4 linked regions of the Astyanax mexicanus genome follow. The protein of the gene in region 2 purifies or fractionates together with the protein of the main gene of each other region. This does not show direct contact. Links are inferred from orthologs where the notes say so. Each region holds a gene or a part of one and is shown on either strand. Other genes may lie near its edges. The genes, in order: atg2b, hdac11, gcfc2 and paxbp1.

Region 1 (7,782 bases), on a different chromosome or scaffold from region 2:
TTGCTGCAGTTTAAAAAAAAAGTTTTCTGATCAAGTTTGGGATGTGTCTAGAACTTTAGTGGAATTATTTGGCAAAACGCAGGCTTAGCTCTTGGACAGAGGAACAGTTTATTGCAAGGTACTACGTACAACCATCACGGGCATGAGAATACACCAAACTCCTCACAGACACGGGCCGAAGCAAGGACTGAACCAACAACCCCGGGCCTGTGGAGTCGTGTGACATTTGCTACCAGTTCTCTGTAAACTGACTAACTGCCTTAAATCAGTCATGAGTTAAATCATTAATGAACATTAAGTAAACCTGTTTTAGAAGCAGCTATACAGGCCAAAACCATGACACTACCTCCACTGTGCTTGGCAGGTAAGACTGAATGTTTGAATTGTGGTTATTTCTTTAACATTTCCTTAGTATTCCTTTTTCACTCTGAACTTTCCATCACTTTGGGAGAATTTAACCTCAGTCTCACCAGTCCTTTACAGGAGTTTTGTGGCTTAACTCTGTATTTTAAATATTCTAATATGGTATTCTGGTTCTAACGGCTGATGAGTGGCACACTGATCATCTCTTGGAATAATGTTTATATTTCAAAAAAAAAAAATATTTTATTTTTATTTTACACACCTAAACGCTGTAAAGGTTGTAAGTGATGCCACTAACAGACTGACTTTTTTTCTTCACTTCTCTCACATTGTGTTGGTCATGATTTGCTGTGGATTTTCTTAGCCTACCTGCTTGATATCGGTTACTATATAACTAACAGTTTATTTTTAAGACCAATCCCAAATGTTATATAATCACTTTCTTCTAAAGACAGCCCCTTAGCTTTTCTGATGGCTTAAGAACAAATGTGGTCTTCACTGGTAAGCACCAGTTAGCACTTAAACCAAGAGCTGCCTCCAATGAACACCTGGCTAATAAGAAACACATGTGGGCTCAAACAAGAGTGCAATTGTAATTGAAATGTCTACATGTAAACATCAGAAATTAATACCTAAAAGTCTGATTGGCCAGCATTTGGTCTTTAGTATACAGTAGCACCTAAAGAACTTGGCTTGCCATTGCAGTACTTCTGGAAGAGACTGTGTTTGCCCCAACATTAAATGATAAACTGCTTTGGCTGTTACTATCTGGTTTACAGTGGATTGTCAACTGAACTGAAGGGAACTGAAACAATGGCTTGGAAACATAAACTGAAATTGTGTCATCTTATTGCAAGTTAGATCAGGGGTTCCCAACACAATCCATACCATGAGGATCCCCTGCCAGGTAGTTCATTGTAGTGGTTTCCTACAGTAACACACCAGCTTCCTTAAAACAAAAATTATTTGTTATTTAGGTAGCTAGCTGATTTGCTGGATCAGATGTGCGGGGACCAGAGTAAACACTAAAATGTTTAAAATGAAGGAAGTCATCCAGCACAAGTGTTGGGGAAACAGTGCCTTATGCCGACCTTACAACTAATGACCTTTAAGCAGACAAATTTTCAGAGTCGGGATAAAATCACGAGAGTCTTGCTAGAGTCGATTTGCAGTCGAGTTGTGGTGGCATCATCTCGATCATTCAGTGTAAGGTGGTTAGGACTGGAAGTTTTAGTCAGTCTTTTTCTCATCCTGGCGTTCAGATAAAATTAACTGTGTTCAATATTATCGTTCAAATAGTGACATGAACAATGTCAACAATCAATAGGAGAGCTACGGGAAGCCGCACTATTTACAAATGATTTGAAAAAGAACACATTTTGCAGTTAATATGCCTTATATGGTTCTACCTTTAATATGTACAATATATTAAACATATACAAACAAGTTTAATAAACACATTTTGCAAGAATTATGTTCGTTATTGCATTATTTCTATCTAAAACAAAGATAAATGTACAGCAGTGAAACTGTGATTCTTTGCTATACAAGGTATAACAACAAAAAGGGGTAGAGAAGCTTAAAGGTAGAATTGAACACAAAATGTATTCTACTAGAAAAATAAAAAAGAACTAACATTGTGGGAGAACAATAAACTGTTGATGGGTTGTGAGTCTGTGATAAATCACAGTATTGATTAATTTAATTCAAATTTAATTATTTGTAATTTAATATGTAATATGTATTGTATGTAAACTCCACCAGAAGCATGATGAGAAATAATCTCAGAAAGAATCTAGTTGAAGTCTTGCAAATAGTCTTTGCACAATCTTAGTCTGTGACTTGTCTCAGTTGTGAGAGGGTGTCAGACGTTAGTCTGTTAAAAGTCTATTTTTTAGAGTCTTTTCAAACTCGTCTAGTGTATGGACAGCATAAGATAGCCAGTAAAACAAAGATCCATAGGTTCTTTGTAATTTGGCTAAAGGATAAAAAGCATGTGTTTATAGTGTGTGAACCGTATGTGTTAATGTTACTTAGCTAAAACTGTGTGAGCCAACCAACAACATTAAGATAGATAGCTAGTTACCTCACATTAACAGACTCTGCTCTCTGACAGACAGACTGACAACCACCCTGCCAGGACTGAGCGGGGTTTGCGTAACTAACAAGACAGACAGCTGTCCTGCTAATCTGCTAAACTGAGCCTTTATTATTTAAGCAGGTAAAATTCATAGTTTAACTTGGTGTCAATTCCAGGAAAGCGCGTCTGCTCATACACACGTTAACGAGCAATACAACCCGACGCTAAACGCGCTCATTTACTAGAGCTCTTTCAGCTAGCTAACCGGCTAGCTAACAGCTTTAGCTTCCCAGCTAGCTAGCCTCGGTTATATAGCTACAGTATAAAGCCTTCAGGGGAAGCTCAGCTAAAGTTAAGGAGCTCTGCGTGGTGAGACAGAGGCTCCCGGCCAAAAGGTCTGAAGAAATGAGTTAAAACAGCATTAAAACACCGTCAGTAAGAGCCCAGAGCAGCATCACTCACCTTCCTGCTGGATGTAGCTGAAGGTGTTTACAAACACTTTCATGACTGCGCACTCTTCAGCTCAGCTGCCCTGCTGCTCTCTCACACACACACACACACACGCTCTCACACACTTACACAGGCACAGGGAGTGTTCAGGATGATCAAATCTGCGCTGGCCAGGCGCAGACTGTCGAAAAATATGAACTAAAATTAACATACGACAGTCGTTATGGCTATTTGAAATTAGCAATGCTATAAGAATATAGTTTATAATACAGTCAAGCAGCAGAACCAACCAGAAACGAACCTAATTCAACATTTTTTAAATACTGATTAAAAAGACAGAAAAAGTTTGAAGATTTTAACAGTCAAAAATTGTCAAGCATACAAAAGACAATAATAAGACTAAACAACTATACAATATTTATAGCCTATAGTTTTTATTAATAAAAAGTAAACTTTTTACTATAGCTAAAAAATCTCATCATTTGCCCACTGTGGATGAGCCCTAAAACATGGAGTCACATTTTATTTCATTTTTAGATTTTTTACTTTTTTTTTCATTTGTATCATCTGCTTTTCACCTATCGCTAGCAATGAAGTCAGCTGCTGCTGAGGTTACCATCTAGCCAGCACACTCAGGGAAAAGCAACTTGGTTCCAATACATCAGCTCACAGATGCCTTGTGCTGCAAAATTACCTCAGGAGTGATATGGGAGATAGGGAGGCAGATAAGAGGCACTGTCTACTAGCCAACTCTGCTTGCTCGGACTCTGGCTGCTGATGACAAGCAGCATAACCAGGATTTGAACCAACAATTTACTGATCATAGTAGTCAATTGTGCTCACTTAGACTCTGGCTGCTGATAGCATCACATTTTATTTTGACCTAGGCAAAAGGAGAAATCCAGTGTAAAATGGTGAAGTGAAACATGATAATGACTACAAACTTTTGTCGAAAAGCCCATCTCCGTTCACCCCTAGCATTCTGAAATGACAGCCCTGAATGCAGCCCTGAAATTTATAACCATTCTGAGTGCCCCAACATTTAAAACGATGTACTGGGAACTTAGTGACTGGTAGGTTATGAAATAGTGATTTATTTCCATGGGCAACGCTATGGCCCTATTGCTACCATTGTAAGCCTGATGAAAGCATCAGCTAAAAAGCATTATATTTCAGAAGGTTCGGGGCGAACGAAGGTGGGCTATTCAACAAGTGTTTGTACTTGTTATCATGTTTTACCAAGTCCATTTCACACCAGATTTCTTCTTCACCAGATGTCACATCTCTTGACATAGGTCATTATCCTAAGGGGGTAGATTCAAATGATCTGATCAACTGAGGGTGTATGTGATTTTACCACAGGATATTTTAGGATGGTGAAGAAGTCTGAAATGTACTCAGCTCATACAGGTGAGCTTGGCAATAAGGCATATGAAGGCTCTGTTCAATGAGTGTTTTCTTTTTCATGAGAGTGAGAGAGAGGGTGTGTCTTGGATTGTGTAACAGGCTGTGGCATTCCTGATTGCATACTGCCTAACCCTGATGATTTAGGAAAATCTCACTCTGCTGAGCATGCTGTGCAATGCTTGGGTTAGGTGGGCCACATTTTGGCAGTAAAAAAATAAGTGCTCAGTTTTTTTCAACATCATCACAAATAACACAATTATGTGTTTCAGGACCAAATTGTTGCTAAATGAAGTGACATTTAAGGTTTTAAAGCGGGCTTTTGTGCTTTTGGAAAATTTGTGCTTTTGGAAATTTGAGGTATCTATTACATTACATTTAATTTAGATTAATTTTGAATTTAAAATGGCTGTTCAAAATTACACATGACATTAGGTTATATATAAACAATACAATTTATTGATAACGCATGTTAATTAACTGAGAGTATGAATGTCAATGTTTAATGACTACTCGGTTACTCAAAATTGCATAATATTGCAATAACGAATTTGTGCTTGCCACACACACACACACACACACACACACACACACACACACACACACACACACACACACACACACACACACTCACTCACTCACTCACTCACTCACTCACTCACACACAGCGCAGAATGAGGCTGGCTGAAGATGAACACACCCATTTTTGCCGGCATGAGCCGGAAGTGTACCGCTGAACTACCCCCGGAGGAGGTGAGTAGCTGACCAAATTAATAACAAATGCCTAGAAAAGGCTTTAAATCCTTTAAATTTGATACATTCTGTTTTAATAAGAGTTCCCCCTTTAAAATAATGTTAGCCGTGTTGTAATAGCAGTAGTTAGTTAGGTGTTAGCTCGCAATCTTGTCTTAGAGCGCTCTTGTCTTAAATGACGCAGCTAGCTAGCATGAGGCTAACGAGCGCATTAGAAACACTGCGAAACAGAGCTAGTAGCTAACCTGGCTAATATTAACCTTTTCTGTCGTCATGGAAACATAACTACCTAGTTTGTGGGTCACTGTTAATGTTAGCTAGCTAACTAGCTATAATTCTAGTATGACCTTAGTAGACTTAGCTGCTGGTGTCAGTTAGTTAACTAGGTTAGCTTAGCATACGTTAGCCAAACAGTAAACTGCATTACGTCAGTTTTGTCTCATCAACCTGCCCCTGCTTCCACCACCCACCACCTAATCGAGTAAACACTCAGCTGGCCAGATTAGCTACCTAGCAGGCTAGTTAACTGCTCAGCCTTGTTGTTCTTGCGTAGGGGATGGAAGTGGACTGTCAGCCAGAGGAACTGTCGAGGTCCTCGTACGAAGAGCGCTGTGCTGATCTCGGGGGAGTTAAAGACATGAGGCTGGAGGCTGAAGCTGTGGTAAACGACGTGCTCTTCGCTGTGACGGACATGCATGTGTCTCAAACTCTGTCCAACGGTCTGGACGTGGCTTACATAAACGTGGAGACCAGAGAAGGAAACCGCTACTGCCTTGAGCTCACCGAGGCGGGGTTAAGGGTGAGTGGAAAAGAGTTTGTCTTTCATATCTAGGGATTTTCCACTAGATTTTGGAACATTACTGTGAAGTCAGGATGTAAGCTAGATGATCACCACTCCTTTTCAGCTCCCCATCTTCCTAACTGACAATCATCCCACTAGGTATTAAAACAAAGTGGAAGCGACTGGTAATGAAACCAAAATGCTAGGGCTCATAGTGCTTGATGTAGGCCTTAGTTTTTCTCAAGAACAGTAGAGCATAGAGAGTTTCATTGAATTGGTTTCCATGCCTATCCAAGCCTCACTCACCAACAACCAAACAAAAAAATTCAGGAGGCGTGTGCATACTTTTGGCAATATAGTGTATTATTAGTGTCCAAAGAAACTGAAGCTAACTGCTCATTTATAAGGGAGTGTCCACATACTGTATATTTCTACATATAGTGTAAGTTACCTGCTCTGCACTGTGTTTTCACTCAACTTATTTGTTGTACAATCCCTCTCTTTTTTTGTTTTCTAGGTGGTGGGCTACTCCTTTGATCAGGTGGATGAGGATCTGAGCAACCAGTATCATGAGACTGTTTACTCTCTTCTGGACTCCCTCAGCCCTGGCTACAGAGAAGCCTTTGGAAACGCTCTGCTTCATCGACTGGAAAGGCTCCAACAGAACGGACAGTGACGAATTCAGCACCAAACCTGGAGTTTGGCTTAAGAGTATCTGTGCTAGCTAATGGTTACATGCTGCAGTTCCGTACAACAGTTAGCTTAAAGCATCAGTGGTATCCTTTCCTATCAGTGAGACCTTATTGCCTGATTTTACTTCTGTGTTTTAACACATGATGGTCATATACGTATTAGCTGTACATTTACTTTGATGATGCTTTTATTATGTTTTAGGGGATGTGGTGTAAGATATCAAGACTAGGGTCTAGATCAAGACTGACATGATTGGCCAGAAACCCTGGTCTGCAGTTATTTCAAGTATTAAACATTATTCAATATCACCTGATCAGCTAATATTATGTCTACTAAATAGATGGGCCAAAGTATGTTACTGCTGGTTGTTCAATTATTTTTGACTAAATTGGACCTAAGCATGATTTTACTAACAAAGAGATTCCTTGGGTTCTTTAATGTGATTATTTAGAATTATCTGTTAAACTGGCCTTCAGACTAGCAGCTGTCTGGAAATGTATTTTGATCAAACTTTTATTTAGAAAGATTCAGCTTGTACATCCATTTCTCCATTCAGCTGCATTTCATACCATGAGAAATTCATGTTGGTTCAAGCTATTTGATTTACCTTTGTCCATGTTTATCAAATATACTTTTAAACAAAGCAATGTTAAGAATCACAGTTCTCTGGAACTAAAGCAGGAGATGTTGGAAATGTTTGTTTGAATTTTACTGAGTATGGCAGTACAATGACATGTCTATTATTTCACCACTTTTATATAATATACTTTTGATTGGCGTTTTGATATATTTGTAGATTTTCTTTCAACCATTACAAATTAGACTCAGTTTCTTCTGTATTCCCTTTGTAGAACAATCTTTTATGGAGACAGGCTTTTAACCTGCACACAGACCTTTGCGCTGAACTATGTGTTCTGTATGTTGCACAGAGTCACACTTAAGGGAAGAGAGTAGCCATTAACTGTGATGTTCACAAGGGCTACTGAAACATACACATGGTTACATTCCATATTTTCTTTTCTTTAAAGTTTGAGCTTTATATAAGGGGGAGAAAAACGAACATGACATTTGGTGTAAATGCATAAACATGAAAGGATTTTCCTTGTGTTTTTATGAGCTTGTTGAAATTCAACCTGCATTTGTAACAGTTTCGTATTGCATACAGCTTTTGAGGCAGATGATAATGTGCTGTTTTGTCTGCATAAGACCGGTCAACTGACTGACACTCAGCATCTCTGCAAATCCTCACGAAACCAAA
Region 2 (7,710 bases):
TCATGCTGTGGGGATTAGCTTTTCTTCAGCAGGGACAGGGACAGACAGCTACTTTGTGGTGGGTTAAAATACTTTTGTGGACATCACATCACATTTTGGGCTGTCTAGACCACCAATTATTTTGCTCTACGAGGGCCTGGTGTCCTCATATGAGGCCATGATACTGTCACCTAGTGGTGGCAGAAGAGTTCAATACGTTACAGTTTTGATTTTTGTAACGTTTAAAAATTTAAATGAACACTTAACACAGTAAATGTTTATGTTTGGTACAACTGTTGTTTCTACTTTTGTTTTGCACCCAGGCAAAAAAAATGCTAAATGAAGATAAAAAATAAATCTTCTGCAAAATCATTACTAATTGTGACTTCATTGTGTTCTATCGAAATATAAAGCTAAAGTCCACATATGTGGACATAATTTTTCTCAGAAACTACTGTAAAAATAAGATAAAATAGATCATTCTTTGTTGTTTTTTTTTTTTACACAAATCAGTTGCCAATTAGCACAAATAGCAAATAAAAAGAGAAATAAAAAAGTGCATAAGCCACTATATTGTCGCTGTTCTATATAAAAAAAAATACTTATGTCCATTTTTGGTCGATTTTTAGTTTACTACATAATTTGAACAGACAAACTGTCCCTCACACTGTGCCAAAATTTCTTTTTGATGAACGGACCAACAGAAATACTTCAAAATGACCTGAAATAAACTCTTTTTGCATTGACTTCCATTGAAAGTATAGAAGGTCTTTTCTCTCTCCTGTAAAGTTGCTGTTTTGGAGATTTGGACAATGACGATATACAGTGTTTTGTCTAGTTTTTTTGTTTATGTCAGCTTAATTTTATTTTTTATCCTTTGCATTGCATTAAGAGCTATTCTAATATAAATATTCACCACGTCAGAAGGTAAGTTGTTGTTATTCAGTACAGAAAATCCACGTATTCCAGCCCAGCGCCGGACGAGCATCCTAAAGGCAGCACTGTGCTGATTAAACAGTACAGATCCTGAATGTCAGGGCATTAATTAAGTTCACCTGGGGACAGGGTCGATTATTCCTGCTGAGAAAGAGAAGGAGAAGACTGTATTTCTACAAATGAAAATCGACAGCGCTGACCTCAATTTATGCTAATGTATTCCATTATACTGAGGAGCTGCCGGGCCGGGCTGCTCTCGCTTCAAAGCAGGACCTGCTGAGAGAATCTGCTTTGTGGGAGCGTGAAGATGCTCCACATTACACCGGTCAGTGTCGGTGAGTTCCTCCTCCTCCAACTCACAGAGTCTTTTATTACAGCATTAATACAGTTAATGATACAGACGGAGGTGGAGTTTATATATATGCACACAACATAATGGGAGACATACCAGAGTTCAAAAGAGGACAAATTGTTGGTGCACGTCTTGCTGGAGCATCTGTGACCAAGACAGCAAGTCTTTGTGATGCATCAAGAGCCACGGTATCCAGGGTAATGTCAGCATACCACCAAGAAGGACCGACCACATCCAACAGGATTAACTGTGGATGCTGTAAGAGGAAGCTGTCTGAAAGGGATGTTCGGGTGCTAACCCGGATTGTATCCAAAAAACATAAAACCACGGCTGATCAAATCACGCAGAATTCAATGTGCACCTCAACTCTCCTGTTTCCACCAGAACTGTCCGTCACCACAATCAGTTATTTCATTGTCCAACCCCTGTAATACCGTATCTACAAATAGAGGTCCATGAATATTTGGACACTGACATAATCTTCATATTTTGAGCTCTGCATGCCATCAAACTGGAAAAAAACTTAAAATGAAACAAATGAGATCAAATTATAAGCATTATAACCATTTTTATTCAAAGCCTCCTCATTTCAGGGGCTTGAACGGAATTGGACGAATGAACTTCACCATAAATAAAATGTTAATTTTTAATACTTTGTTGAGAATCCTTTGCAAGAAAAAGTCTGGAACCCATGAAGATCATCTCCAAAAACCAGGTTTCCACCAGCGTTTCTTCTTTATGATGCTTTTCCAGGGTTTTATTGCAGCATTTTTTGGTTGTTTAGCTGGTTTGTGGGTTTTTTTACCTGAAGTTTTGTCTTAAGCAAGAAATCGAAAACCAATCAACTTTCAGTATTTGGTTGAATCTGAGCAGAAAGTAAATTCCTGTAACTTCAGAATTATTCCTTCTGCTTCTGTCTTCAGTCACATCATCAATAAACACTAGTGACCCAGTGCCAACAGGAGCCATTCACGCCTATGCCATCATACCACCACCACCATGCTTAACAGAGGATTAGGAGGATGTGCTTCATACCGAGCTTGAGGCTTTGTAGAAAAATGGTTATAATTCCTAAATGCTTCATAGGATATCTTTAGTCAACTCTTTAAATTAAACCTAAAAGGTCTAATTATATATATTGTATATATAATGCTCTGGAACAAAATAAGAGAGCACTTAAAAATGACGAGTTTCTTTGATTTTACCGAATTAAAAACCTCTAGAATATAATCAAGAGGAAGATGGATGATCACAAACCATCAAACCACCAAACTGAACTGCTTGAATTTTTGCACCAGGAGTAAAGCAGCATAAAGTTATCCAAAAGCAGTGTGTAAGACTGGTGGAGGAGAACATGATGCCAAGATGCATGAAAAAAAACTGTGATTAAAAACCAACCAGGATTATTCCACCAAATATTGATTATTTCTGAACTCTTAAAACTTTATAAATATCAAACTTATTTTCTTTGCATTCTTTGCATCTTTTTTTGTCATTTCAGCCATTTCTCATTTTCTGCAAATAAACGATTTTAAATGAGAATATTTTTATTTGAAATTTGGGAGAAATGTTGTCTGTAGTTTATAGAATAAAACAATGTTGAACAATGTTCATTTTACTCAAACATAAACCTATAAATAGCACAATCAGAGAAACTGATTCATTTATATATTAAATATATTTATATATTAATATATATTTATGAGCCTCAGAGCTCTGAACTCGTCTTCTCTTTAAGAACTGTTGTGATGAACGTTGTGTTTTCTGATTTGATGGTCAGCAGATGCCTTTCGCTCTCGGGCTACTCACTGACCTGAACACCGGCAGCCAATCAGAGAGCAGATCCAGCCTTACATCATCCCCAAGCCTCTGCAGCGACATCATCATTACGCAAGTGCTACACACACACTGCTATTTATAGCAGCCGCACCGCTGGGGGCAGCCGGCGTGGGACTGGATCACAAAGCACAGCGAAAAGCAAACAACGGGTCACATTCCTCCCGAACCGCTGAGAGACACACTGCTAAAAAACTGGAAAAATACATCCTTTATAAACTAAAATACCATGCTGCATCCTTCTATAACTACAGACTGTAGTTCTGCATCTGTTTCTATACATCCTTTATTATTATTATCCTTCTTCTTCACTCTCTTCTTCAAAGATTAATCTGCTTTTTTATTATTAAATATTTATCTGATCATCAATGATTTTATTACTGCTGTTCTTCTTCTCCTGTCAGATTAACTCTTATTCTAACTCTAATTCTCCTCTCTGCTGAAACTTCCAGAAACTCAGTCCTTAATCATGTTAATCTGAGCTAAAGGCTAAAGCTGCTGTTTCCATGTGGGTCAGCCAGACGTCTCCCTGTAGCAGTTAAAGTGTTAAAAACTAACAACAGAAACCTGGGGTGTTCTAAAACTTTTGACCGATACATGTATATATATATATATATATATGTATGTATGTATATATGTACATATGCATTTGTTAGTGGAAAAAAAAAAGTAAAATCTTACAGCACTTCATGCTTTCCTCTGCTGACAACTTTTATAGAGATGCAGATTTCATTTTCCAGCAGGATTTGGCACACTGCCCACACTGCTTACCAAAAGTACCAATTGGTCTTATAAAATATTTTAATTTTCTGAGACACTGATTTTTGGGTTTTCATTGGCTGTAATCCATAATCAATAATCAACAATAAAATAAATAAATGTTTAAAATAGATCACTGTGTGTTTAATACATCTATATAATAGTTTTGAACTGATTTATTCTATTTTTGAATGCAATACTACTATACACATAAGGATGATGCTATATACAAACAAAATGGAATATAGTTATGCATAGTTTTGACTGGAATATAGTGTTGTGTGTCTGATTTTAATTAATATTATATAATAGATACATAAGAAATAAACACTTAAAATCGATAATTCTGTGTGTAATACATCTATATAATAATTTTGAACTGAATTTCTTTTCAATGATATTCTAATAAGGATGATGCTATATACACAACTGGAATATAGTGCTGGGTGTCTGATTTTAATCTATATAATATATTTATAGGGATCATTTATGACACTTCTTTTCCTAATTTCATGATTTTTTTGGTCTCTTTATCTCTTATTCCATTTGAATTGAGTGAATCTGCTTTGTCTTTTATAATTTGATATTGTACCTTTTACAATTTTAATTATTTTAAATTTAAAAAAAAATGTAATATATACATATATTATTTATAATATTGATTCAAATCAGACACCCAACTCTATATTTCAGTCATGTGTGTCGCTTAAAACAGAGCACAACAGCAGTAAATATGAAATTAAGAGCTATTTTTATATATTTTATAGGATTTTTACTGAATCTGTGCAGATGTGCACAGCTGTGCACTGTCAACGGCGTGTGACGTCATCACGCGGAGTGCGGAAATGGGACGGTAGGAAAAGCAGCTCGAGCGCTTCTGTCAGTCTGTATAAATCAGTTTAATACAGATATATAGAGATATATAGAGAGATATATAGAGATACAGATATATAGATATATAAACCTGTATATGAGATCTGCGGTTCTCCAGCAGCAGCAGCAGCGCTGTAGAATATAAACACCAGCAGGTGAGTTTCTGTATTTACAGCGCTTTTTCTCTAATAATCCGCTTTATCCGCTCAGAGTTATTAAATTAATAACCTCAGTTAATAAATCAGACTGTATTAAACCCGCTCAGACCGCCCGCGATCTTTACATTAACGCGAAATAACCAGAGCACTGTATATTCTCCTAAACACCAAATGTTGCGTCTCTGAAATTGCTGCCGCGCATGCGCAGCAGGGGCCGAGGATTGTGGGAAATGTAGTGTGTAGAGTGAGAGCGTCTGTTAAGGCTCAGGTTCAGTGCACTTTTTATCTATTATTTTAACGACTTAAACTTAAAATATTGCTTATTATTCGATCTTAATATTACCCGGACACCGTATTTTACTTTATTTAATTTAATTATTTAATGTTATTTCTATTTAGTTTTTTTCTTCTTACTTTTATTTGTTCCTACCATTTATTCAACTTAAATTAAGTGAATCTGCTTTGTCTTTTATCTTGTAACTCTTACCAATTTTAATTATTTAATAATTGGTTGTGTTTAAATGCTGGTTTTTGTATATGCATTCTCTATAAATAAAAAATATATATTATTATTATTATTATTATTATTATTATTATTATTAGTAGTAGTAGTAGTAGTATTGTTTTTCTTGTTCATTTGATAATTCTGCATTTATTAACTGAAATTCGAGCCGCTCATGCTCAGGTGTAGCCGAGTATTGTGGAAAATGTAGTTTATGTAACGTTAAACAACAACTAAACAGACGATTATTATTTAGAAATGCACTAAGTTCATATAATTAAACAGGTATTATTATTATTATTTTTTTTTATCTCTTTAGGTCGAATAATGCTGGGGTGCAGAGATCAACATGTCCAGTAAAGAAACTACAGAAGGAAACAAGGGGTGAGTAATAAACTAAAAATGAACTACAAACACCCAGTTTAAAGTGTTAAATTTACTTTAGTTGCAACTGAAAAACAAACCAACAAATTTATCTTAATTTTGTAGTAATGTAAAGTAATGTAAAGTTATGCTGTGTAATTTATTAATATGTACAAAATGTGTATATAGCACCATTATATTTGAGATGTGTGAAGTGATAGTGGGAGTTAGTATTTCTAATTATTTAATTTGTATAATTTGAAACTTTTTTTTGCAGTAAATATAAAAACAAATATGTGAGGTTCATTTTGTAAATAGCACAAACATATGCAAATTATACAAATACAAATATTTATACAAATATATATATATATATATATATATATATATATATATATATATACATTTTATTTTTTATATTTAGATTTATTCATATAAATAAATCTAAATATTAAGAAATTACAGTGATACAATAAAATTTGTAAATCAATACCTAAAACCAAACTAAAATATACATCACATTGTTCCATTTTTCTCTAGTTCACACCGGACGGAGCTGTATGTACAGGTTCCTCCGACATGTCTGCCTATCGTCTACTCTCCGGAGTATAACATCACCTTCATGGGTCTGGAGAAGCTCCATCCCTTTGATGCTGGGAAATGGGGGAAGGTCATTCACTTTCTAAAAGGTAAAACTGCTGTTTTACTTTTTAACTTTTTGACATATTGAGTTTTTTTTAGGGCTTTTTGAGTTTAAAAGGCTCAAATCATCACTGAGTAGAGGTGGGAATCATAGGACATCATCTTACAATATGATATTATCACTATACTATTCTATACAATACTCCTAAATAATTTAATATCAGAAATTAAGGATTTATTTAGACTTTCTTACATTTCTGGAGTTTTGCTTGTTTATCTTGGTAACAGAAAACACAGGAGCTCCACTGACTGAATACAACCTAGACAGACGGCAACAGTCAGACGTTCATCGCTATCTTGGCAATGCAGCCGTGCACAAACCCAACATTTGCATCAACAATAAACAGAATAGTAAATAAAAAAAAATAACATTGCTGTTCTGTAATAAATGAGCTGCTGGAGCTCCTTCACAGCGTCAACCAGCAGCTCAGTTTCCTCTGCTGAGAAGAGTTTGTTGGACACGTCCAGGTAGCTGCACCGTTAAAATAGCAATGCACCAAAGTCAGAGCTCACCTGGTTCTACTCTTAAAGAGAATGATGAGCAACACTGATCATCACATCCATGATCAATTACGAGTATTAGTACTGTGAATGACTGTTGTTTGCTTTTTTTTAGTCGTGCAAGGTGTACTTTTCCCGTTGTTACGATAGCAAAGACACAGTGACACACTGCCCTAAATCAAGCTGTACGGTGCAAAGCAGTTGACGTCTCGCCTATAAAATGATAAAATAGGGATCTCTAGTTCTCAGTGTGTTGAGGAGTCTGATGGACTGAGGGAAGAAGCTGTTGCTGCGTCTGGTAGTAGAGTACTATAGTCTTTGGTGAAACGTTTTTATAACCCTACTGTAACACTCGTGACCCAAAGTTACGGGAGTCCGTGGGGGAGGGGCTGTGTGATTAAGGATGGAGGGAGAGATGAAGGGATGGATGGGAGGTGGAGGAGGGAGGTGGAGATAATGAGGGGAGCAGAAGCCCGGCGGGAGCAGCAGAAGTAGCAGGTAAAAGACGAAGGTCAGAGGAAGAGTGCGGCTCTGGCAGAGCCTCAGATAAAAAAAAACTCAGCAGTTAAAACTCAGATCCTTCTGGCTTTATTTGTTATCTATTTATTACACCATCAGAAAGCCTGTGATCGTTTTGTTTATAGTATTTTTTATTATTTTTTGTTTATTTATTATTATTTAATTTTTATGATTTATTTTAATGTTTTATATTTTCATTCTTGTTCTTTTTTTTAAGTTTTATTATTCAT
Region 3 (8,003 bases), on a different chromosome or scaffold from region 2:
CTGGTCTTCCTCCTTCTGGCTATCAGACTCACTCTCTTCACTCGAACTCCCACCTATACAGAAACAAAACTAAACATTTTTAACACAAATACTAAAAAAATGTAAATTGGAAGATGGATGATCACAAGCCATAAAACCAAACTGAACTGCTTGAATTTTTACACCAGGAGTAAAGCAGCATAAAGTTATCCAAAAGCAGTGTGTAAGACTGGTGGAGGAGAACATGATGCCAAGATGCATGAAATAAAAACTCTGATTAAAAAACAATCAGGATTATTCCACCAAATATTGATTATTTCTGAACTCTTAAAACTTTATGAATATGAACTTGTTTTCTTTGTATTATTTGAGGTCTGAAAGTTCTGCATCTTTTTTTTTGTTATTTCAGTCATTTCTCATTTTCTGTAAATAAATGCTCTAAATGAGAATATTTTTATTTGGAATTTGGGAGAAATGTTGTCTGTAGTTTATAGAATAAAACAATGTTCACTTTACTCAAACATAAACCTATAAATAGCAAAATCACAGAAACTGATTTATATCTCACCCATTTTCTCAGCCATTCTCTCCCTGACGGTTTTGGATTTGGGTGCAAATTCGATTCTGCGTTCATAATCATCTGGCTCATCATCACTGTCTCGATGCTCATCGCTCGGGTCCCCCTCTCCGTCTATTGATCTATTGGGAGTGCTTTCCCGATCCTCATCTAGAGGGATGTAGTCCTGCTGGGCTCGAGCTCTCCTCCTCTGCTCCTTAACTGCACGGATCTTCTTAGAGTCAGGGATGTTAACTGCAGCAAAACAATATAAGGCATCTTCATTTATTATTACCCTGACAAAATGTTAAAATGTGAAAATTATCCAGAGACACCCTTTCACATATTCACACAGTCAGAGAATTTAGTGTTTAGTTTCTCAGGGGGGGGTCTGTGTAACATATTTCACACTTCTACTCTTTAGTGATAAAACTCCTGCATCCGGACTGCAATTGAAAAAACAGGAGGATCAGTGAGTTTTTAGGTTTTAGGATTTCTCTGTCACATGACATCACAGTGTTCAGTAGCTCCTCCATTTCCACTTGCTGTGTTTTTTTTTTTACGTGGATCTCTGTGGAAACGCGCGCCCAAAGTGTAATTACGGTGTGCGGCAGAGGACAAATATCTATTTTATTAAAACTGCGAGGAGATGAAACTCAGAGATGTGCGTCCGGACGGGACTAAAATTAGCGGAGGAGCACGGAGTTCAGAGAAAAACAGTAGATAATTCAGCCTGTAATTTTCTCAGAGGACGTCTGAGAAAAACACGTAAATGATCGTTCTGCACGGAATTATTTTCACAGAGGATAAAAACCCCCATAAAAGAGAAAATTACCCAGAACCCCCTGAGATACTAATCCTGTCCGGATAGAGCTTTAGATGTGTTCTCTCACAAATGTTATAGTATCTCTTAAACAGCAACTATTTAGGATAGGAGAGAGAAAAAAAAAAACTTCTAAACTTTCAATGTAAGTTCAATGGTAATATCGCAATATACATATTGTCAGAAAAAATAATAATAAAATATATAAATAAATATATTACAATGTCAAATTTTACCAATATCGTGCATCTCTATTTCCAATGCTACAATGGGGGAATAGTGGTGGGCGGATTTGAAGGCCACATCCCACACAGATTACCATGACTTACCACACAGTTCTAATAAGAAAATACTGGCTGAAGCTCTGCTGTCAAGAGCTGTCAGTGCTTAAACTCAGCATTTTTTCCTTAATATCTGATGATACATTATGATCATGATATGAGTTACTTCAGAAAATATATGCCTCAATTGTCCTTTAACCACTCAATAATACCTAGAGTGCCTGAAACGTGACTGAAATGAGCACCTTTCTGTGGTTTTGAAGAAGAGCTGGAAGTTCTGGAAGATGTAGACTGAACTTCACTGTCGCTCTCGCTGTCTGGAGGGATGTCCTCCGCAGAACTCCCCGCTGTGCTATCAGAGCGCTCACTAACATCCACATCTTTCACACCTAAAAAACAACAAAACCAGAGAGAGGATTTAAACTGTGCATAAAAATAAGAAATATAATTGCCTACAGAAAATCCTGTGATTATCAGCAGATTATACAGTGAACTTATACTACCTGCTTGTGTTTTGGTCAACTTAACAGGCGACTGTTCCTTTTTGCGAGCTTGGAAAATCACATCTTTGTTGATGGACCTTTTCAATTTGAATTCAGATTCATCTGCACCTGTAAACACACACACACACACTCGAGTTTACAAAACTAACTAACACTGGACGCTCATTACAGAACTTACAGGCTCAACTATCTTCTGTAATATTAATTCAGCCAGTTTTAGTCCTATCTTGACACATCTGTAATTTTCCACACAGTTGTTAAACATCAACGTTGATTAATTTTCGAAACTTTTTTAACGTATATTCAATGTTAATACTTTTCAAAATCAACACCAAAGTCAACTATAATTTATTGTTGACTCACTTTTCAAAATCAACACCAAATACAACATTAATTCAACGTTAATTTACTTTTTTAAATCAACACCAAATCCAACGTTGATTCAACGTTGGTCTGTGTAGTTCCTGCAGCACCGCTAACTGAGGGAGTCTCACCGTCTCTCTCCCCGCTGAAGCTGAGGGTCTGACCGGGAGTTTGTCCGGGGGTCTGGGGTTTACCGGCGGGCGGCTGGGGGTCCTCAGGCTCCACGCAGTCGGGGCTCTCGGAGCGGGCAGTGCGGGGAGGGGTCGCGCTCGGTTTGGAGCTGCAGGAAATCCCTCTGCGGGGCGCGTTAATCAGTGTGGAGCTCGGGGCCGGGGGCTCCGCTTCTCTCTCCGCGGCGGCGGCGGGGCTTTTCTCCGCCTCCTCCTCCTCGCTGGACTCCGCTCTCCGCGCTCTGAAATTCCTCCGGTTCGTTTTCTTAAACATCTTACTGACCCACCTCTACCACACACACACACACACCTGAACACAGCGCGCCGGGGCGACCAATACTCCACTTCCGGTACATACAGAAAAAGTCCCACTTCAAAATAAAAGCTCTTCATCTCAGACTAGAGTCAGAGCCGGTTTATTAGTTTGTTTATTTTATTAAGCGTGTTCGAGATACACGAGAAATTCTAAACTATATAGCACGTTATTATTATTTATATGGTCAGAAAAAATATTGGTTTTGATATTATAATTTATTAATATTTAAAAATATATAATTCCCTCTCACACAAACAATAATGCACAGTACTCCAAGCTTATAATGTAGGATTTCCCCTAATAGCAAACTCTTTTTAAAATTTGTCCAAACTGATATATTTATCTAAAAGCCAGGTTTATGGAGAACCTATTGTTAACTTCACATCTCCGCGGTTATATCAGAAAATGACTTCACCGCTAGAGGGAGCCCGTAAGTTAGTTCTTACATTAAAAGTAAACTATTCACCATATTTGTGATGACCCTTTATTTAATTATAAATATAAATTAAATTAGCTATAGTTTTAGGTACATTTTTATATACAGAAAACGAAATTCGCTAAAAAGATACTCTCATTCCAAACATTTATTTATTCATACTTATATAATTACACACACTTACTAATTTAAAATAAAAAAAAAAAATAAAAAAAATCCAATATATCCATAGATATTTTGAAGCTTTTAAATTTTATATGAATCCCTTTCTTAAAAATGTTTTCAGTAAACAAAATAAAAAAAAAATAAATATACAAAAAAAAAAAAAAACATGACCATATGCAGAATTTTTTATTCTGCTAAAGTATGGGTTTTACACAGTAAAACCCACTCTTTGCTACTATGAGCTGATTGTTTGGCAAGCTGATGCTGAAGATACAGCCAGAGCACGTTTAAAAGATATAAAATCTGTGCCTGCAAAGCTGAAAAAAAAAAAAAAAAAAGTTCTGTGTTGAGAAAATCTGTAAATTTTCCAGTATGAAAATTATTAAACATATATAAATTCTGATTTTGCTCCATATAACCCATTCATTTGGGCGCCCTCTAGTGGTCAAACAACATAATGACACTTAAAACTAAAAGAAACCATGCCCCCCCCAATCCAAATTCAGATTAAGTAAGCATTTAAACACTTTTTTCACTTGTTAAAAAAAAATTGTTTGAAAAAACGTTCTTGAATCCTGAATGTAATTTTCTTTAAATGTACCTGTTAATTTACCCTGTCTGTTGTTGTAAAGAGTATTATGGAAGAGTGCAATAAAAAAAATTAAAAAGAATAACGATTAAACTGATTTCTTTGGCCAACTTTGGGCAAATCACAGACTCCAGAGCAGTTTGGTTTATAAAATTTTATTAATGTTACATAAGTGTTACACAGGGAGTAAAACATGTCCACAAGGCTTTTGGAGACTACAATTGAGGATTAGCAAAACAGAATAAGTGGTCCAAATCTATTCCAAACACTCACTGGACAACAACGCACCCTCACACGTGCACAAATCTGCAATGAAAAGTTCTAAACTGGACCCTGATCTTGGCACGTGTGCCAATTCCCATTCCATCTTGTACTTAATAAACAAAGACATGCATGGATCGATACCCAATTCAGCTTCCATCGTTTATTTAGCTCTAATTCTCTTAAGTGCCGAACTGCCGTTCCACTCCCGTTCCGATTCATGCTTTAGGTGAAATGCACATCATCATAACCACAGTGGGATGTGAGCTTTGAGCTTTTAAAGCAGCCATCAAAAGCAACAAACAAAAATAAAGGAAAATAAAGGAAAAGGAAAAATCACCAAACAGTGAGACGTCAGTTGATTTGGCCATGTTCAGTAGTGAAACGCTGCAGAGATATACTAATATAGGTCACATATGTCACAGGTCACACATGCTCACGTACACTAAATAAGCAAGTTCAAACTAGGAAAGAGGGTTCTAATCTAAATGTTGTGCGGAATTATGCCCTGCTGAATACATACACCCAAATACCCTTACTCCCATACACGCATACACCGAGGGCTCGGGTGCCGCCAGTTTGTGATAAACTAATCAGGAGTGTCATTGGTAACAACAGTGTCACTACAAACAACTGTTCTACAGATCCTCAACACTCCTACTACTTTAACAAAGTCCTAAACCTCACTCCAATTCACAACATAACAACCAAATCTGTGCTTCCAAATCCTCTCCGTGGAAAATCGACAAGCGAAAGCGACCACACAAGTGTTAACGGCATTATGGAAAGAAAGAACGCGGAGTAAATATTTTACCAAAAACACTAAGCAAACGCATCATATGATGGCATCCACAAACTACACACACATCGCTCTCCTAAAGTAAAAATCGCACTGGATTAAATTGGTATCTTCAGTTTTCTTTACGTGGCAGTCTTGTGAGTTCTTTTTTATTTTTTTATCATTAGAAGTAAGAAGTGAGAATCATCATGGATTTATTTCAGTGGCATTACCCATAGCACATAACTGACTTGAGCAGTTGACAACCATGATATATATATATATAGATATATATATATATATACATATACGGTGATATATAAGAACAATATACGCGTGTGAGAGAACCGTTATCTAAAGTTTTAAATATCCCTGCAACAAGTCTTAAACATACCAACTGAGAAGAGAAAAAAAACACAAATCTAATGAAATGCATGTCTTTAGTCTTTAATCTTTGTTGTCTTTTTTATTTAACTCATTTTTTTTAAGACGCTGGTATAAAACAAAGCTAGTCATACTTTTCTACAGCAGAGACGGCACGCAACAGAAGACCAGGACAAACACAAACCAAGGAATGGAAGGTCTCTCGCCCCAATTAATCATTAATATCTCTCTCTCTCCTCATCCAAAAGCTGCACTGTGAAAAGACTCAATGATTGGATTTTTTTTTTGTGTGTGTGTGTGTGTGTGTGTGTGTGTTTTCATAAACAGCTCTCGAATGACAATATTTTTTCCTTTACTAGAAGAATTAAGGTAGAGTAATAAGGAATGGAGATGTGTAAAAAGGTTTTCTTTTCCTCCTCATCAGTTTTCCTCCTTAGTTTTCTCCTCCGTCGCCGCCCTCTCCCTCATCCGCTGCGTTGTCCGATGTCCATAACTGGGAAAAGATGGAAATAAAGAAGAGAGAAAGCGTCAAACAACAAGCAGAGCTGAGGCTCTTAGACCTTGTTTACACCTTTTACTGATTTTAAATCATTAAAACTCCCACACAATTGACACACAAAGTTCCTTTCAAAAATTCCTTGTCCAGTGTCATTTGCTGCTATATAGGCTACGTTCTCTTTACGTTCTCCACGTTGCTCAAATCTGATTTTTTACTCAGATCAGATTTGGATCTTTGTCTATCTTGTCGGTTCACATTCAGTGTAAATGTAAGTGTTCTGTATCTGTGTGTAATGTGAACGCAGAATCTGTTCCTGAAACACCGTCTCACATGCTGCACATTGATACCTGTATAAACGCCTCCTTCTTCACCAACAACAAAAAAAAACTCATATTAGAGAGAGGAGAGACTCGTAGCTTTATAAAGGGAAATGGATGAGTTAGCAGCTCATATGTGGAGCATCTTTTACTGGAGTGTAGAAACAGTAAACAGCTGCTCTGAAGTTCATGCTCAGCTCCACGAGTTTAAACTAAAAAAAAAAAAGAGCAGGCGGTTTGCTTTTGCTGTTTTTTTTGCAGCTATAGCTGCACAGCTGCACCAAGAGATACAGTGTGGGTACGAGAGAAGAGAAGCACATAGCACTAATGCTACTGCTAATGTGTAAAAGCAAAAAGATGCACAAGTTTAGATTTGACTGTTCTTATTCATGTTGCATGTCTGTGGATCGGATACGTATCTGATTTAGGAGCACATATGAAGGTGACTCAAATCTGATTTGAAGAAAAAAAAAAAACTGATTTGAGTCACTTCAGCTTGGTAATGTGAACGCAGCCTTCAGTATTCAGAAGTGAAGCACACATGATATTTCACAGTTATCTGTAAGCTGTAGTATGGTCTTGTCAAACTGTGCTGCTGTTTGCTTGTTAGGACCCAAAGAAACAACTTATTAGCTTTAGACAGTCAATACTCAATATATCAAGCCCAGGGACAGAAACCAGCATTTAAAATCCTTCTACAACTGGCCAATTCTGAGTCCTAGACATTCAGTACTTTCATAAACCCAGAAAAAAGGACACAAAGAGAGTTACTCACTGTGAGATTGTCTCTTAGCAGCTGCATGATGAGGGTGCTGTCTTTGTAAGACTCTTCGTTCAGTGTATCGAGCTCAGCAATGGCTTCATCAAACGCCTGCAAGCAAACCACGGCCATTTACAGCACTGCTTAAAAAAAACAAAAAACTGGCAAATAGAGAAAAATTCTCACTCATGGCAGAGTGAGGTATAACATACCTGCTTAGCAAGGGAGCAGGCCTTCTCTGGAGAGTTCAGGATCTCGTAGAAGAAGACGGAGAAGTTCAGGGCCAGCCCCAGGCGAATGGGGTGTGTTGGCTGCATCTCTGTCTTGCTGATATCGAACGCCTTTTGGTATGCATCCTGAGAATTCTCTATGGTGGCTGGGGAGCAAAAAAAAAAGGAGGCAAAAAAGAAAAAGAAAGAAAGAAAGGTCAATTGTCTACAATTGTCTGACAAATAAGTGGTAGTGTCCCCAGCCACGTGTATAAAAACCTCACAGAGACAGAAAGATCATGACCTGTTTAACACTTCCAGTAAGAAGCATGAGTCATATCAACACACACAAAGACTCCTGCAGTTGCCCAAGATAAAATTAGCAGTGTCTCCTCCTTTCCTTCTGGTGCTGAATGAGACACAAAGTCTCACTCACAGACCCTGGCACACTGACCTAACATTAGAATTGCTGCATAATGCAAACTACTTGGATGGAAATAAATAAATAAATGATTAAATACACCAACAAACGAAATAAATACTGAACGAAACACAAGAAAAATACTCTAAATGTTCACGGCAGCAGAGAATAATGTAATTTACAAAATGTACTG
Region 4 (7,856 bases), on a different chromosome or scaffold from region 2:
AAATTGGGGTTAAACTGTACAGATGGATGTGCTGCATTTAGCTATTTATTATTGTACTTTTTGGCATTAAATCATTACATCTAAACAGAGACACAAACATACAATGTATAACAAAAAGGCACACAACAATAAAGACTTGTCCTGAAGGACTGATTGTTTTGCATTCTTCTGCACTCAAGGAGATCCCTTAAGCTGCTGAACGGGCTGAAAGAGTGCAAAGATTGGAGGGCTCACCTGTGGGATGCTAATGCCCTTCCTAATTTGCTCCTGCTCCCAGCGACTAACTTCTTCATCATTACCTTCAGTGTCCAGAGCCTCATCATCACTGCCCTCAATACCTGCACAATCACAGGCATCATCAATACATTTCAGCACAGAATCTTCACAACACACTAAATCACACTTCAAATCTATATTTTAACCTGCGTTAGATCTAGTAGACAATACCCCTGTCTACCTTTTTTTTAGAAATTACAGTCAAAAGGTTTATGGTTTTATATCAAAAGGTTTATGGTCATTTCATATTTAGAGTGAATGCAGTATGCAGTAGCTACTAAACAATAATAATTACACATTTGGCCAAAGCGTGATCACTCAATGCCATCAGATGAAAGCTGACAGCTTTTAATGCATCTCCCTCCCACTCAATATTCAAGTATGGCATCTGATCTATTTACATGACAAGAACACATTAAAAACACACCAATTGATATTTCACACTCACCAATCTCCTCTGCTATTTTCTGCCGCTGGCTCTTCTGCTTGACGCCACTGAAAACTATCCTCTTCTCATCTTCGTCATCACTGCCACCCTGCTCATCTTCATGAACCAGGCGTTTATTTGCTACCTCTGCCTCCACCAATGGGGCATCTCCTCCAAGCTCACGAGCCATCTGCCGCCGTTTACGTGCAGCGTGAATGAAGGCTGCATCTGGGATCTCACCTGAAGAAAGAGCAGAAGTTTCACATTAACACTAAAACTAACAAACTGAACATAGAACGTGTTCTGACATTTCTCTTTCTCATAAAAAAACATCAGAAAATCAGACCTGGTCTGAGGGAGCTGAGAGCAGACAGGGTCTCGGAGAAAGCTCCTCCACCACCGGGCTTTGCTTCACTCTCATCTTCTGGTTCATCATTACTGTCCACCTCCATCTCACCTTCACCCTGCTCACTGCTGCCTCTGCTGTCCACTGGCTCATCTTTGACTATTGCTGGACCAGATGCACCTACAACAAACACAACCAAATTACAGACACAGAAAATATATTAGCTACAAATATTAATATACTCAAAACTCAAAAGATTTTTTTTCTATAAATAGATTTGTGCATGATGTGTTTTCCATCTGTGCACGATTTAATTACAAAAACATATGTTAAACAAGATCATACTACATGATTTCTACATGATTTTTCTGTATGACAGAACCAAGACTACGTAACACACCATCAAGACGCGTGGTGACGTCCTGCACCACATGGACTATTTTCTCCTCTCTGTATTCCTTCTTGAGTTGCTTAACAATCTTCTTGCTGTGGTTGGACTTCTTGACTCTGAAAACTTCAGTTTCCTCTGGGAAAAAAAAGAGAATAATACAAAAGTATTATATCGAATACTGGCTTCAGCACAGAATTCCCACATTGGTGCATCGCTATTATTTAAACATGTTATGTTTAAATGACGACTGTTTACACGCGTCATACTGTTTATTTTTTGGAAAGACGCAAATAAACATTATATAGATCTTATAAAATGATAAGATATATAGCTACGGCATTACGGTCATACAGCGTTTGCTTGCTACTTACTTTAACAGTAACGCTGTAACAATTTCCATAACGCATTGAAAAACAATTCAAAACTCAAACTGTTGACACACCCCTCACTTTCCTCAAGGCAGCTTGGATTTGGTAAGCTAGTTCGCTAAAATGTTAAAATGTAGGCATAAATGGTTACTGCTTTTACCTGTAGTATTTAGGTACCTTAGTTAACTAACTGTGATTTTTGAGGGGCTTACTTTATTCTAACCTAGTTAGGATAGCTAGTTAACTAACTGGCTAGCTAACGTACGCAAATACAAATGCATTCAAAAAAACGTTTTAACTATTACTATTTCAGTTACTTCATATCAAATTAGTCAAACTAGAGCTATAACTCCCCAAAATAAAATATTTTAATAGTCTGTTATCGTACATGAACTAACACTAAATAAGCTAATGCTAACTAGCTTAAATAGCTACTAAATGTTAGAGAGGAAACAGAGGCATGGCTGAGTTAACCAATGCGAAATCTCAAATGTTATACAGGAAAGCTCAAGTTACCAAAGTTAGCTTAGCTACTCTTTTTGATTTAGAAAATGACAGAAGCTAGCAGCATGTAGCTAACGTTACATGTGCTCTGTGTTAACGTTAGCTGGCTATAGCCACAGTTAGCTAAGCTAGCTAGCTACCTGGCTTAGCTCAGTTGGACAGCTAGACACAGTTAGCTAACCTAGCTAGCTGTTAAGCTCGCATTGTAGCTTGCTGGCTAACGTGTTAGCTAGCTAACTATCTAGCTACCTTCTTCGTCGTTAAAGCTGAGCAGGCTGGCTTTGGGCTCCTCCTTTCCCTCTTTCTTCCTTTTCTTCTCTCTGGCCGCCTTTAAAGCGCTGGACTGAAAGCCGTTTCCGTGGTTGTTGACCGCGTTGCTGTCGGCGCTGGCTGTGCCAGAGTCGCCCCCCGCTCCGGGCCCGCACGGCGCCGGCGGCTGGTGCTGCTGCTGCTGCTGCTGCTCAGCGCTCTGGGGCTGGAGCTCGTCTTTCTCCTCATCTTCGGAGTCGTTCCTCCGCCTAAAATTGCACCTCCTCGCCTTCTTAAACATCGCGACCCGATCACCAGCGCACCGTACAGGCGCAGGCGAGCTAATGAGGGTTATTTTTTGAGGCGCCAAAACACTGGCTGCAGCTCCGCCGCACTCGCACCATCTTCCCGACGAGTTAGCGCCGCTTTCTCGCCGGCGGCTCCGGGATGACCTGTGGAGAAGCTGGTTCAGTGCTGCCTTCTTCTGGCGGAGAGCTTTCAAACACCCCCACACACACACAATAAAAACGCTATTTTAACCCGATAATGCATGAATTTAAGTCCCTTTGAATTTATCAAATTAAATAACTAAAACTAAATTCCTTTTTTGACTTTTGATAACGAACAGATAATTTGAATCAGACTCAGATTTAGAGCAACGAAGCACCCAAAACACGCAGGAGTGGTCTACCTGCATAACGCTTATATATCAGTTTATATCAATATCAACCCAGCCGAATATACACCTCTTTAGTCTCTGAATCAGTTTATCTGATTTTGCTATTTATAGGTATATGTTTGAGTAAAATTAACATTGTTTTATTCTATAAACTACAGACAACATTTCCCCCCAGATTCCAAATAAAAATATTGTTATTTAGAGCATTTATATGCAGAAAATGAGAAATGGTAGAAATAACGAAAAATATGCAGAGCTTTAATGCAAAATAATGCAAAGAAAATTCATAAAGTTTTTGGGGTTCAGAAATCAATATTTAGTGAAATAACCCTGTTTTTTAATCACAGTTTTCATGCATCTTGGCATGTTCTCCTCCACCAGTCTTACACACTGCTTTTGAATAACATTATGCCACACCTAGTGCAAAAATTCAAGCAGTTCAGCTTGGTTTAATTGCTTGCAATCACCTATCTTTATCTTGATTATATTACAGAGGTTTTCAATTTGGTAAAATCAAAGAAACTCATAATTTTTATGCACATTGTACATATTTTTTATCTATGACCCACTTGTACAACTCATTCTACTGGACATATATATTCCTTGTAATTTTTTTATTAAGAATAAGTAAGCAAATAAATATATTAAAATAGAATACAGTGTGGTTTGTTGGAAAAAAAAAACAAAAAAAAAAACGCTGTAACAATTTCCATAAAGCATTGAAACGCTGAAAAGCGTACCACCAACAACTAAAAAAAGTACCAAATTACGACCTGAAAGTCATCCACAGGAACATATGCAAGCAAACTAGGAGTAAACAATATGGACAAAAAACACAATGTGTAATAACATGTAATGGATAGTCTGATGTCCATGTGAAATTGGACAAAATGACTTGCATTTTAAAGTTTTTATATGACGGTGACAAATATGCCATTTTATCCAGTGAAACAAGTCAAATTCTTAAGACCCAGGGACTTTTTTGTATTTGTTTGCTCAAAAGAGGCTTGGAAACTTTTATTTATTCATTTTTTATGTCTTTGTAAATTGCTATCTGAATAAACTTTGTTTTTAAATGTGAATTTAAGGGCCTTCAAATGTCTTTTCCCTATTTATTTTCTATTTCTCTGCCTTTTAGTTTTCTAAGACCCCAGGACCTCTTGGCACAGAAATAACTATTTGGTTTCAACAAAGTAAAATACCAGGCACAGTAACACATTTTGAACATTTTGATAGGTAAAAGTGCTAAGAATATCTAACTCTAGATCTCTTTCTCTCTCTCTCTCTCTCTCTCTCTCTCTATATATATATATATATATATATATATATATATATATATATATATATATATATATATGTATGTATATGTATATATAGATAGATAGATACAGTGAGTCCAAGAAGTATTTGATCCCTTGCTGATTTTCTTCGTTGGCCCACTAATAAAGACATGATCATTCTATACTTTTAATGGTAGATGTATTCTTACATGGAGAGACAGAATATTAAAAAGAAAATCCAGAAAATAAATCTAAGGAATATATATTAATTGATTTGTATTTCATGTGAAAATAAGTATTTGATCCCTTAGTATTCATTAGCAGTTCTGGCTTTTACAGACCAGTTAGACACTCCCAATCAACTTGTTACCTGACCTGAAGCCACCTGTTCTCACTAATCACTTGTGTGAAAAACACCTGTCCACAGAATCAGACAGATCACACAGATTTCAAGTCTCCAACATGGGTAAAACCAAAGAGCTGTCACAGGACCTCAGAGTCAGAATTGTTGACCTTCACAAAGCTGGAATGGGCTACAAAAAGATTAGTAAGGTGTTGGATGTGAAAGTAACAACTATTGGTGCAATTATCAGAAAGTTTAAAGAGTATAACATGACAATCAACAGACCTCGGCCCGGTGCTCCAAAGAAGATTTCGCCTCGTGGGGTGGCAATGATGCTGAGAACGGTCAGAAATCGTCCTGCAACCACTCGGCAGGAGTTAGCAAATGACCTGAAGGCAGCTGGGACCACAGTTTGCAAGGAAACAATTGGCACCACTTTGCGCAACAATGGATTCACATATTGCAGTGCCCGAAAGGTACCCCTGCTGAAGAGAGCACATGTGGAGGCGCGCCTCAAGTATGCCAATGATCATTTGAAAGATGAACCAAGTTATTGGGAGAAGGTTTTGTGGTCAGACGAGACCAAAATTGAACTTTTTGGCCTCAACTCCACCCGCCATGTGTGGAGGAAGAAAAATGCTGCCTATGACCCCAAGAACACTGTGCCCACCATCAAGCATGGAGGTGGAAGCATAATGTTTTGGGGGTGTTTCTCTGCCAAGGGTACAGGGCTACTTCACCGCATCACTGGGAAGATGGATGGAGCCATGTACCGCACAATCCTGAGGGACAACCTCCTCCCCTCTGCCAGGGATTTGAAAATGGGCCGTGGTTGGGTCTTCCAACATGATAACGACCCTAAACATACAGCAAAGGCAACAAAGGATTGGCTCAAGAAAAATCACATTAAGGTCATAGAGTGGCCCAGCCAGTCGCCAGACCTCAATCCGATCGAAAATCTATGGAGGGAGCTGAAGGTCAGAGTTGCCAAGCGACAGCCCACCAACCTTCATGATTTAGAGAGGATCTGCAAAGAAGAGTGGGCCAAAATTCCCCCTGGTGTGTGTGCTAAACTTGTGGTTAACTACAACAAACGTCTCACCGCTGTGCTTGCAAACAAAGGCTTTGCCACTAAGTATTGAGTGTGTTTGGCAAGAGGGATCAAATACTTATTTTCCTCATTGAAATACAAATTAATTAAAATATATTCTTTAAAATTATATTCTGGATTTTTGTCTTGATATTCTGTCTCTCCATGTTAGAATATATCTACCATTAAAAGTGCAGAAGGATAGTGTCTTTATTAGTGGGCAAACAAAGAAAATCAGCAAGGGATCAAATACTTCTTGGACTCACTGTAGATAGATAGATAGATAGATAGATAGATAGATAGATAGATAGATAGATAGATAGATAGATAGATAGATAGATAGATAGATAGATAGATAGATAGATAGATAGATCAATTATTCTAACAGTGCCCTCTACTGGAGACATAATATACTGGTGCTGCCATATAATACTTTTTCTCAGTCACTTTGATGCATTTCTCATTTCAGAATTAATATTTGCACAACAGTGTGGGCATTTCTCAAAACAAACAGCATCACATAATGGATGAGCAGTTAATGCACTTCACTCAAAATCTTTTTGCTTCATTCCAGTTCCATTATGTAACATTCCAGAATATACAACTTTTATGTACTTTTATAAATTACATTCATTATTATTCTGGACAAGAGACAGTTATGTATATATATTGGATGCTTATTTTTAAAATCACAGCAATTGTGCACAGATCACTTACTGTAATGTATAATGCAATAAAAGTTGCAATGAAAGAGCAATACAACAAAAAAAGCCTGCAATGGGCCTGCATGGACATCAGGTGATTTGAAGGCCTTGGGCAGAACTGGAGCTCCTGTGTTGTGGGGCCTAGCACGTTTGTGGTGGATTTCCCCTCTGCTCTATCAGCATTGTTTCTCTTAGTGGCACAGGACCATTCACAAAAATCACCCAGCACTGGGTGATGGGCTTAGTGAGAAAGGCTTGATAGTGACACGATAGATAGATAGATAGATAGATAGATAGATAGATAGATAGATAGATAGATAGATAGATAGATAGATAGATAGATAGATAGATAGATAGATTTTTTTTATAATTTAATATAATGTATTGCCAGGCAGGTGTGAGCATCTGTAGCGCCAATTAACAAAAGCTCCACTCTCACAGCGGCCTGCTGCCAGCGGGGAGTGGCTAAACACACACACGCACGCACGCACGCACACACACGCACACACACACACACGCACACACACAGTCTGCACCGTTACAGAGAGAGAATGGATGTCTGTGGGAGCTGCTGCTGGATTTTGGGTCTGCTGGGTCTGTGCTCGGTTATCGGGCAGAGTTCAGGAATCACCCGAACTTTCTACATCGCCGCCCGGGAGGAGGAGTGGGATTACTGCCCGGGGGGAGTGAACCGGGTCAGCGGCAGCCCTGCAGCATCGGACCAGTGAGTTCCACCCCCAACCCCTTTAACACTCCAAATACTGAGAATAACATACTGCAGTTCAGCAAAAATACCTCAGAAAAATTAAACACAGACATGACAAGAGTTTTACCACTCAGTTCTGTTCTTATAAAGTCCTGTAGACAATTTACAGTCAGGCAATTCCTTTAAATTACATAAACATAGTCTAGTAATTATAAAATTGAATGTCATATAAAGGAATAAAATCGTTACATTTGTAAGATTTTCATACTAATAAGATTTTTTTTTACATTATATCACATTATAACAAAATATTGTCTAGTAGTACAGACATACTTTATTATTATTGCCTATTTTTTATGCCTAAAAATATCTAAAAAAAATAAATAAATAAATAAATAGGCATACTAATAAACCATCCATACACTGGAAGTCAGCCTGTGTGAGTGTGAAAATTTAACCTTGCTAAATAAAAAAGAAAAAAAGAACTGAAGAC

The links.
Region 1: the proteins of hdac11 (region 2) and atg2b purify together in Homo sapiens (co-immunoprecipitation; 3 studies listed by BioGRID and IntAct, counting the BioPlex papers as one, with this or other methods). This does not show direct contact. The link is inferred for Astyanax mexicanus from reciprocal best matches to the Homo sapiens genes HDAC11 and ATG2B.
Region 3: the proteins of hdac11 (region 2) and gcfc2 purify together in Homo sapiens (co-immunoprecipitation; 3 studies listed by BioGRID and IntAct, counting the BioPlex papers as one, with this or other methods). This does not show direct contact. The link is inferred for Astyanax mexicanus from reciprocal best matches to the Homo sapiens genes HDAC11 and GCFC2.
Region 4: the proteins of hdac11 (region 2) and paxbp1 purify together in Homo sapiens (co-immunoprecipitation; 3 studies listed by BioGRID and IntAct, counting the BioPlex papers as one, with this or other methods). This does not show direct contact. The link is inferred for Astyanax mexicanus from reciprocal best matches to the Homo sapiens genes HDAC11 and PAXBP1.

Annotation. Positions count from the first base shown.
Region 1 is NC_064421.1:22,413,483-22,421,264, forward strand, and holds the start of atg2b (autophagy-related protein 2 homolog B), read right to left. Parts: upstream 3,011-7,782; 5' UTR 2,906-3,010; intron 1-2,905. Other genes in the region: GSK3-beta interaction protein, read left to right, coding at 4,988-5,050, 5,604-5,849, 6,349-6,507. UniProt on the Homo sapiens protein: Lipid transfer protein required for both autophagosome formation and regulation of lipid droplet morphology and dispersion.
Region 2 is NC_064431.1:33,444,698-33,452,407, reverse strand, and holds the start of hdac11 (histone deacetylase 11), read left to right. Parts: upstream 1-4,708; 5' UTR 4,709-4,890; intron 4,891-5,714; 5' UTR 5,715-5,744; coding exon 5,745-5,779; intron 5,780-6,298; coding exon 6,299-6,447; intron 6,448-7,710. UniProt on the Homo sapiens protein: Responsible for the deacetylation of lysine residues on the N-terminal part of the core histones (H2A, H2B, H3 and H4).
Region 3 is NC_064421.1:47,967,278-47,975,280, forward strand, and holds the start of gcfc2 (GC-rich sequence DNA-binding factor 2), read right to left. Parts: upstream 3,006-8,003; 5' UTR 2,950-3,005; coding exon 2,637-2,949; intron 2,251-2,636; coding exon 2,143-2,250; intron 2,029-2,142; coding exon 1,885-2,028; intron 791-1,884; coding exon 548-790; intron 54-547; coding exon 1-53. Other genes in the region: ywhaqb (tyrosine 3-monooxygenase/tryptophan 5-monooxygenase activation protein, theta polypeptide b), read right to left, coding at 6,038-6,097, 7,196-7,291, 7,393-7,556.
Region 4 is NC_064427.1:29,837,981-29,845,836, forward strand, and holds the start of paxbp1 (PAX3- and PAX7-binding protein 1), read right to left. Parts: upstream 3,013-7,856; 5' UTR 2,863-3,012; coding exon 2,562-2,862; intron 1,576-2,561; coding exon 1,450-1,575; intron 1,230-1,449; coding exon 1,050-1,229; intron 944-1,049; coding exon 725-943; intron 339-724; coding exon 235-338; intron 1-234. Other genes in the region: hephl1b (ferroxidase HEPHL1), read left to right, coding at 7,209-7,381. UniProt on the Homo sapiens protein: Adapter protein linking the transcription factors PAX3 and PAX7 to the histone methylation machinery and involved in myogenesis.